2 linked regions of the Drosophila melanogaster genome follow. The protein of the gene in region 1 purifies or fractionates together with the protein of each later gene. This does not show direct contact. Each region holds a gene or a part of one and is shown on either strand. Other genes may lie near its edges.

Region 1 (3,754 bases):
ATTGTTTAACAATTAAATTGTTCCAATACAAACAGACAGACATACACACACACCACAACACACACACACACACACACCTGACCCGTGGTGTAAACTTAATTATAGAAAATTAAGCAATTGCCCGATTTGCATGCCAAAAGGTTGATAAGAAATCGAGCAAAAAACAAGATGAAGTGCACCACGGGTTCTCGAGCGCTGGCCATGATGAGCATCGCATCACATATAATATATATATATTATATATGTGTACTTGGATATATATCGCAGAACATATAAAGTGTATTTTAAATACAGCTAAAGTGTAATTATCAATTCATTTCGAAAGCAAACTAACTATTACAAATGGAATAGATTAGACCGCAAGGGTGTACTCTAAGCGACGAGCAGCATAATTGATTTTAATCACAAGAATTTAATTAATTAAATAAAAGCCTATATACAAATATATATATAAAAAGCCAAAAAAAAAAAAAAAAAAAAAAAAAAAAAAAGAACAAACACCACTCGTTTTAACTTAATGCCCTAGCTGGGAGTTTATTTATCCACATATACAAATTGTGCTGGAATCGAAGCAGTGCCTTAGGTAGTTAGCTAATTCGCGAATGGGTGTGGTTATTATCATATCTAAAGATCGTCGAAAGAATCCAATCCGCCGCCCGTCTCCTTGCCAAGCTTCGCCTTATCCTGACTCTCGGTCCAAGCTTTGGCGATCATCTGCTTCGTCTTGGAGTCACCGTCGTTGTACATCTTCTTCATGATGTTAACAAGCGCCGATTCGGGATTGTCGCCATCTTTGGACAATTCGCTGTCCTTCTTTTGCTTCAAACGCTTCTGGATAGCGGTGAGCACATCCCAGTGCTTGTCCTCAACCTTCTGCAGATAGATGGCCACCATGTCGGTCTTGATCTTTCGGTAGCTCTTCTCCACATCGATACTGTGCAGCAGATTGTTTACGGTCAGCCCAAAGTCCTTGCCCTGAAGATCGCGCACATGGAGCTGCAACGAGTTAGGTGTGTAGGTGACTGTCACATTCTCCTCCGTGCAGCCCTGCACTCCGTTCAAGGTGATGAAGAGCTTCACGAACTTGGCGCTCTGGTCCCAGCCGTAGTCGGTCAGCTCGTGCAGATATCTGGGCGATCGAAATGGGGATTCATTAGTGGGGCTTGCATGGTTTAAGAAATCTCTGCCCATATATAGTGATGTAGAAAGATGTGGAACTACATTTGGGATATGGACTAATCCCGAAGAGATTTTGTGTTTCGGTCGATTGGGTGTTGGGTTTCTTGGACCTCATGGATTTGCTCACCTCTTGGCTTCGCTCGACCCGGTGGCCTGTCGCTCTGCCGCAATTTTGGCCTTCAACTCCAGATTGACAATCTCCCGTTCCGCCTCCGCTTTAGCGGTGGTCAGCACGTCTTTTACGCGGGCACCTTTCGCCTGCTGCAGGAAGGCCGCCAGCTCGGCCACATCGCTTTTCAGCTGTGTTATTCGATGGGTGTGGGGTTATTTCACTGATGGCTCGTTTTTCAACAACTCGGACTTACCTGTTCCAATGACATTTTGTTTTGTCTGAATAACAGTTGATTAATTTTGTAGGTTCGCAGAAATTTCGAGCAATTCAATGACGCCGGCGCCCGTGGTGAATGTACTAAAAAACGATTAACGCGTGGCGAGCACGGAGCACACTGCGAAAAATACTATTTCACGGTATTTTCAGTATATCAAGTGCCAGCTTTGGTGCACAAAATGTTACATTTAATTATTAAATGTATATATTACTACGACAAAGGGTTGTTTTGTTTTAGAGCTTACTAATGTCAAATTAGAAATACGTGATATTTGAATCCAAGAATGGGCAGATGACTAGTAAATCATGATCCATTATTAATTGATATGATTTTTGTTATAAACTTCTACTTCCGCCGGAAAAGCGATTTTCCCGCCAAACCAGGGTGACCAGTTGGAGGCAGCACACAAGCAATTTTGGTATTACATCCCCGGCGGACGGCGAGCACACTGATCCATAATCTCGAAAAAACCATCGATGGCATCGAACCGGCTGGAACTGAACCATCGATATTATCAGTAGCGCCATCGATGGTTTGATAGCACCTCAGCTCCCGCGGAACGCCGACCAGAACACACGATTCAGACAATACGACCAGTGACCAGAGTTGTTCATGTGCTCCATCCAGGGTATCCACATACAACCAACGGACGCTGCGCCACAGCCAGAGTTCCGGGATTAAAAGGGCGGCGCAGCAGGACTCCGGATTGGAAACAAAAACTATCCAAGTGAGTAGAGGAGTTGTCATCTCAGTTACTGCTGCCGCTCGTCCATACGGCAAATGTCAAAACTGTTCAACCGTTCGGAAACACTTTGCTTTACACTTTGGCCTGGCCGAGAACAGAAATTTTTTAATAAAAAAAATTCCGTGTCAAAATTTGCTCTTTTTAGGCACTTTTTTTTTCTGTAAAAACCGCCATAAAACCACCACAAGCACCATCAATACGCCGATGCCCAAGAAGATTGTGCTCCTGAGGAACAATGGCCGATCGAGTTATGTGCCAGGAGTTGGCCACACCAGGCAGTCACTATCGTCGCCCCAAAACGGGAGTGCCCAGCACCAATGTGGTGTACGCCAATGGTGGCGGATCCTGGCGTGCGGCGCCAAGGCAAACCCAAAGGCTGCCGCGCCAGACCGTTCAGCAATATGCCACCGGCACTCCGGCAACTGGAAGCGCGGGCAGGCATTCGGGCAGAGCATTCGCCACTGCGGGCGCCACCGAGGAGCAGACAGTGGAATTCAATGGAGCTGCAGTCATGGGTCTGCCCGCCACGCCGCGTACAACCAAACAGGCACGCAACAAAAGCGAAGGTAAGTTCAGTTGCTGATCCAACTTGTTAGTGCATACAGATGAATTTAATTGGTTGTATTTTGCTGCAGAAGCCATCAATGATCTCCTCACACGAATCCCGGACATTGGCAAGCTGTTCGATGTTCACAGCCGGATTGGCAACGGAACCTTTAGCACGGTGCTGCTGGGCACACTGCGCCGGGAATCGCATCTGCCGGACAGTCTGCGTCGCAAGTTCGCCATCAAGCATCACATACCAACCAGTCATCCGGATAGGATAATGAAGGAGTTGCAGTGCATGACCAAAATGGGGTAGGTTCCTCATTTCGTTTCCCCACTTGGTGTCCTGTGTCCTTTGCCCTCCCGTATCCTTATAGTATCGCCCGACTGGTTGTAAACCAAACAACCAACCACCCACCCCACCCACGCACGCCGCTTCGTCCCCTCGTCTGCGTCAAACGCCGTTAAACGACGTCAGCCGCCGGCAGCGGCTCCATCTACGTCATTGCAATTTATATTTCGCCGCACGAACGGCAAGCGAGATGGCATGATTGTTGTAGCGTTCGTTTATTGCACTTTCACACGCCATTCACGTGCCCATTTACAGTTACATTGAAGCCCACGGTGCACAGCGAGAAAAATTCGCCACCTTTCTCTGCATTCATTTACGCATTTCACATCACTTTTATATCCGAAATATGTTAGATCTGAATACATTTCGCATTTGTTTATGCAAAATCGCATCTGCCAGTGCACAGAGAGAAAAGAAAAGAGTTCGATATCGCTGTGATATGATAAGTTCCAAAGAAATTATAAATAAATAGGAAGTTCGAGTTCGAGTTCGAGACTCACCTCTGCTCAATACATTAAACCATTTTCGCATATCAAAATGCCA
Region 2 (4,260 bases), on another chromosome or scaffold:
TGCGTTTCATATAGATCCTATTGCTTTCATTAATGTATACACAGCGATTGTGGGGTCTGTGAAAGGGGTACAATTGCACATATGTACGTCTTCATATATATGTACATATACGATTCCCCACATTTGAACGATATGAGATCGTCTCTTCAGTTCTTGGTTTCTCTCGCTCTAAACAAAAGATTGGGGGACGTGAAGTCTAAGGATTGGCAGACATATGCATTTCTAGACAATGTTGTTGCATTTGAGTGCATTCGCTAATTGTAAAAGTTGCCAATTCATCAGCGTCTGAGATCTGAAAAATTATGCTATATATAATTAGTTACTAGAGGGCTGGTTTCGGGCTTTCACCTCTATATACATGGGATAGTATAGTATGGTATGTATATAGTAATCAATATTTAGTCCAAGGGTTGTGAAAGGAAACTTTCTATAAAGAACAGGATACTTGATCGAAAGATGAGCCAGTGGCACTTATTTAAGTATCAATCGACCCGATTAACTTCTGCAGAGACAGTCATGCACCTGTTCATTCAATCATATACAATTAGTTCCCAGCAGGCCCAAACAAACTGAATAAATATACAAATGAACTCGTCTGTGTGTTCTTTAATTTGTCGCAAGTGTGCAAATCAGAAAAATGTGACGAACCGAGCGTTGTTTATCAACAACAAAGAGAAAAAACAGACAGAACATGGGCAATCTAAATCGAGAACGGCACAACATACAAAGGCAAACAAATTGGCGAAGAAGGCACAAACCGGTTGCCACTAAGGGAAGTCAGAGCCAAAAGAAAGCGATGGAACCAAAACCGGTTCATTGAACCTGCACACCACCGGCATCATGGTATAGACACACAGAACGATTCCAGCTCTTTATCACACAAAAAATCATTCTTTATTTATGCCATTTCTGTTTTTAGTTGAGCACAATTACTTGCTTACGGAACGAAATGTAAATAAACATGGCGAGCTATGGTAAATGCAAATGTCTGGAAAAATCGATTATGCGTTTATGCTTAGTTCAAATCGGTTATGTTGCTGATGGATGACATGCTCCCCAAACACTTTAGTCGGTGGCATCGGCCTTGGCCACGGAGAAGGCCTCCGAAACGGGCAGGGTGCCGCTGTTGGCGATGACCACATCCTTGACGGGACGGTCGCGGGCATCAGTGGCCGAGTTCTCGATCTGGCGCACCACATTCATGCCCGACAGGATCTTGCCGAAGACGACGTGGCGTCCATCCAGCCAGCTGGTCTGCTTGGTGGTGATGAAGAACTGCGATCCGTTGGTGTCCTTGCCAGCGTTGGCCATGCTCAGCCAGCCGGCGCCATAGTGCTTCAGCTTGAAGTTCTCATCCTCGAAGCGCTCGCCGTAGATGGAGCGACCGCCGGTGCCGTCGCCCTTGGTGAAGTCACCGCCCTGGATCATGAAGTCCTTGATGATGCGGTGGAACTTGCTGCCCTTGTAGCTGCGGGGTATAAGAGCGTTGCATGATGGTCAGTTTTGTCAGCATGGGAATTTAAATTTAAAAAAAAACTGGGTTTAGAACTCGAAACCTAACCAAAAAAGAACATGCATACTTATAAATTCAGAGAAGAAAAAAGAAATACCCAAGAACTGCACTTTTATAGTATGGTAGACTTAATAACAGTTGGCGTTCTTTGTTAACCCATTAGTGCCGCTTTGTCAACTGATGTATGCGATTGGCCGCTCAAACGCCACGTAATTGCTTCAATCTGAGAGCCCCGCTATAACCTACAAAGTGCCGCTGATTAGCGGCATCTTTTGCTGGCCTAGCGGTACCTGGCACCCTACTATGTTGGGGTATTTTCGGTACTCAAGTACCCTACTCACCCCTCGCCCTGCGGCTTCAGCGCCAGCTCCTTGAAGTTCTCCACCGTCTTGGGCACCGTCTTGCCGAACAGACCGATCTCGATGCGACCAGCGGGCTCGCCGCCAATGGTGATGTCAAAGAAAACCTACGCAATCGGAAGCGGTTTATTATTAACAAGTCATCTCACTTGATTTATGGCGCAGCAAATGTGTGTGTGTGTTTGTGTGTGTATGTACGTGGTGTATGCAGAATGTAAGGACGAAAGTCCAAGGAGCACGCACCTTCTCGGTCACTTTGGGACCCTTGCTATCGTCGGCAACAACGACGCCGGCCACCAGGGCTACCACGAAAACGGATAAGAACAGCTTCATCGTTCTAAATATTCACAGCGCTTCAGTTTATTCCTCAAGCGACGTCGCCAATGGATATTTCACGACTGAATTTTCGGTTTCTGTTAGTGATGTAAGAAAACTTTGTTGCATCGCCAATCGATGTTTTCCATCGTTTTTTATGTTTTTGTCGAAATATCGATGCTTAAGTGTGACCATTCGATGACGATGTCTGATGATCACACATTCGGGCGGAAAATTCAAATTCAAATAGTTAATACGCCGAAAGCATAAGTTAAGGTTTTCGTACGAAGGAACAAAGTAAGTTCGAAGAGTTGACTTTATTGGTATAGTTTTTAATATTTTAGGGATTAGAAGTCCAGTTTGCATTAGCACGTAGCATTCTCTCTTGTTTTATTGACGGTTCTGTACACAAAAAGTAAGTAAAAAAATATGCTTTTATTTATTGGTGTACTGCTATTTGCGTCTGAGATTTGTCCATATCCTTGGCTGCCTTCTCTGCTCTCTTCTTCTCCCTGCTGGCCAGAACTTTCTCCCTGGATTTCTGGGCCCTTTCAGCGCAATCCTTGGGTCGTGTCTTCAGGGTCATATCATCCACGGCCGCCTGTTTACGGGCTGATCTCGAAATGCATCGTTCCATGCAGCTGATGGGCACAAATCTTCCAATGAAGCAACCGCAGTGTGAACAATAGTGATTGATGTCCTGGCGGCCAGACCATTTTTTACTGAAATAAAGTGAACATTACGAAAGATTTATAAAGCTTCATGCAGATGGCCAACCAAAGTTTTGTGAATCCCAGAAATCTCTGCAGGCAAGTGACCAACTCCAGTTGCACCAAACTGGTTCCAGACTTCTCACACGAAGGACAACGGATCCAGGTGGGCTCCTCCTTCAGGTATCCCACTTGTGGCTTGTGGCTGACAATGATGGCCACAATCTGCGGTTCGTCCACGGTCATGATGCGAGTTCCAGCGAGAACGATCGGTGACTGAAAGATGGATCAAATTTGGAGAGATCATGGGAGGGAAAATCAAAATCAGAATCACTCTCCCGATTTCTCTTAACCGAGGCGTTGGTCTGGTAATTAAGTTAGTGCATGGAAATCAAATGAGTTATTCTCTCTGCGTTACAAATGCCATTGGATGTACAGTGTAAAAAGTATAGTGTACATTTTGAGCATTACACATTAAATAGTAAACTTTTATTCGTTTCAAACAGCAGTATATTTATTATTATTATTGAATATAAATTAAATGACAAAACTGATCTACATTTGTTCATTGTGTTATAATAATTCGGATCCGATGATCCTTCTTCAGTGGGTATCTAAAGTTGTGGACGGCGGTATACGCCCAGGTACTCCCCGCAGGCACCGCAGTGATGCCTCTTGGTGCAGCAACGCAGCCAGGAACGCACCACACGGGTCTTGGCCTTGGTCCTGCAATAAGGACACGTAATGTCGTTGGGGCCGGGGCCCACGGCAAAGTAAAGTGGTTTCGGATCCTGAGCCATTTCGCACCGAAAGATGTTGACTGCTTTAAAAACAAACGCAGACTGAGGCTAGCGAAGAGAAATTGTAGGAATAAAATGTTCAAATGATATGCAAAGAGAAAAAAATCGGCCCAAAAAAGAGAAAATGTGATATTTTTGGCTTTATTTTTGTTTCGATGGTATTGCAGTAGTGGGTGGGAAATTGAGTGTTTAGAAGAATTTTAATAAATATGTGAACAATGCTGCCTAGGCGGTGGTTGCCTTCAATTTGAGTGGTTGCCTCCTCTTCATGGAACGTCCAAAGTAACAGCCGCAATTGCCGCAGTAATGACTTCGATCGGTTTGTTTGCACGGCACATAGTAATTAAAGCAGCAGCAGCAGCAGAAGGTCCTGTAAAAGTATTTTATAAGTTTACGTTTCCAAGAAATAGGAGAAAGTAAGGCAACCTACACAAAAAGACATCCCACAATGCGGTTTAGTTCACTGGCCCACCACTTCAGATCATTTTGCACCACACTCAGATCCTTGATTCCGCAGGCGGGGCACTCGATCTCCACGGGCTCGCGTGGCAGGTTGAGAAAAG

What was found.
Region 2: the proteins of CG3226 (region 1) and CG2852 purify together in Drosophila melanogaster (affinity purification with mass spectrometry, with the first as the bait; one large-scale study listed by BioGRID). This does not show direct contact.

The regions. Positions count from the first base shown.
Region 1 is NC_004354.4:6,652,602-6,656,355, forward strand, and holds CG3226 (uncharacterized protein), read right to left. Parts: upstream 1,648-3,754; 5' UTR 1,560-1,647; coding exon 1,545-1,559; intron 1,480-1,544; coding exon 1,307-1,479; intron 1,130-1,306; coding exon 625-1,129; 3' UTR 512-624; downstream 1-511. Other genes in the region: Cdc7 kinase, read left to right, coding at 2,549-2,879, 2,949-3,171.
Region 2 is NT_033778.4:22,644,067-22,648,326, forward strand, and holds CG2852 (uncharacterized protein), read right to left. Parts: upstream 2,279-4,260; 5' UTR 2,206-2,278; coding exon 2,116-2,205; intron 1,980-2,115; coding exon 1,855-1,979; intron 1,469-1,854; coding exon 1,066-1,468; 3' UTR 580-1,065; downstream 1-579. Other genes in the region: CG30195 (uncharacterized protein), read right to left, coding at 2,627-2,909, 2,965-3,143; CG34446 (uncharacterized protein), read right to left, coding at 3,512-3,697; CG34445 (uncharacterized protein), read right to left, coding at 3,923-4,067, 4,128-4,260.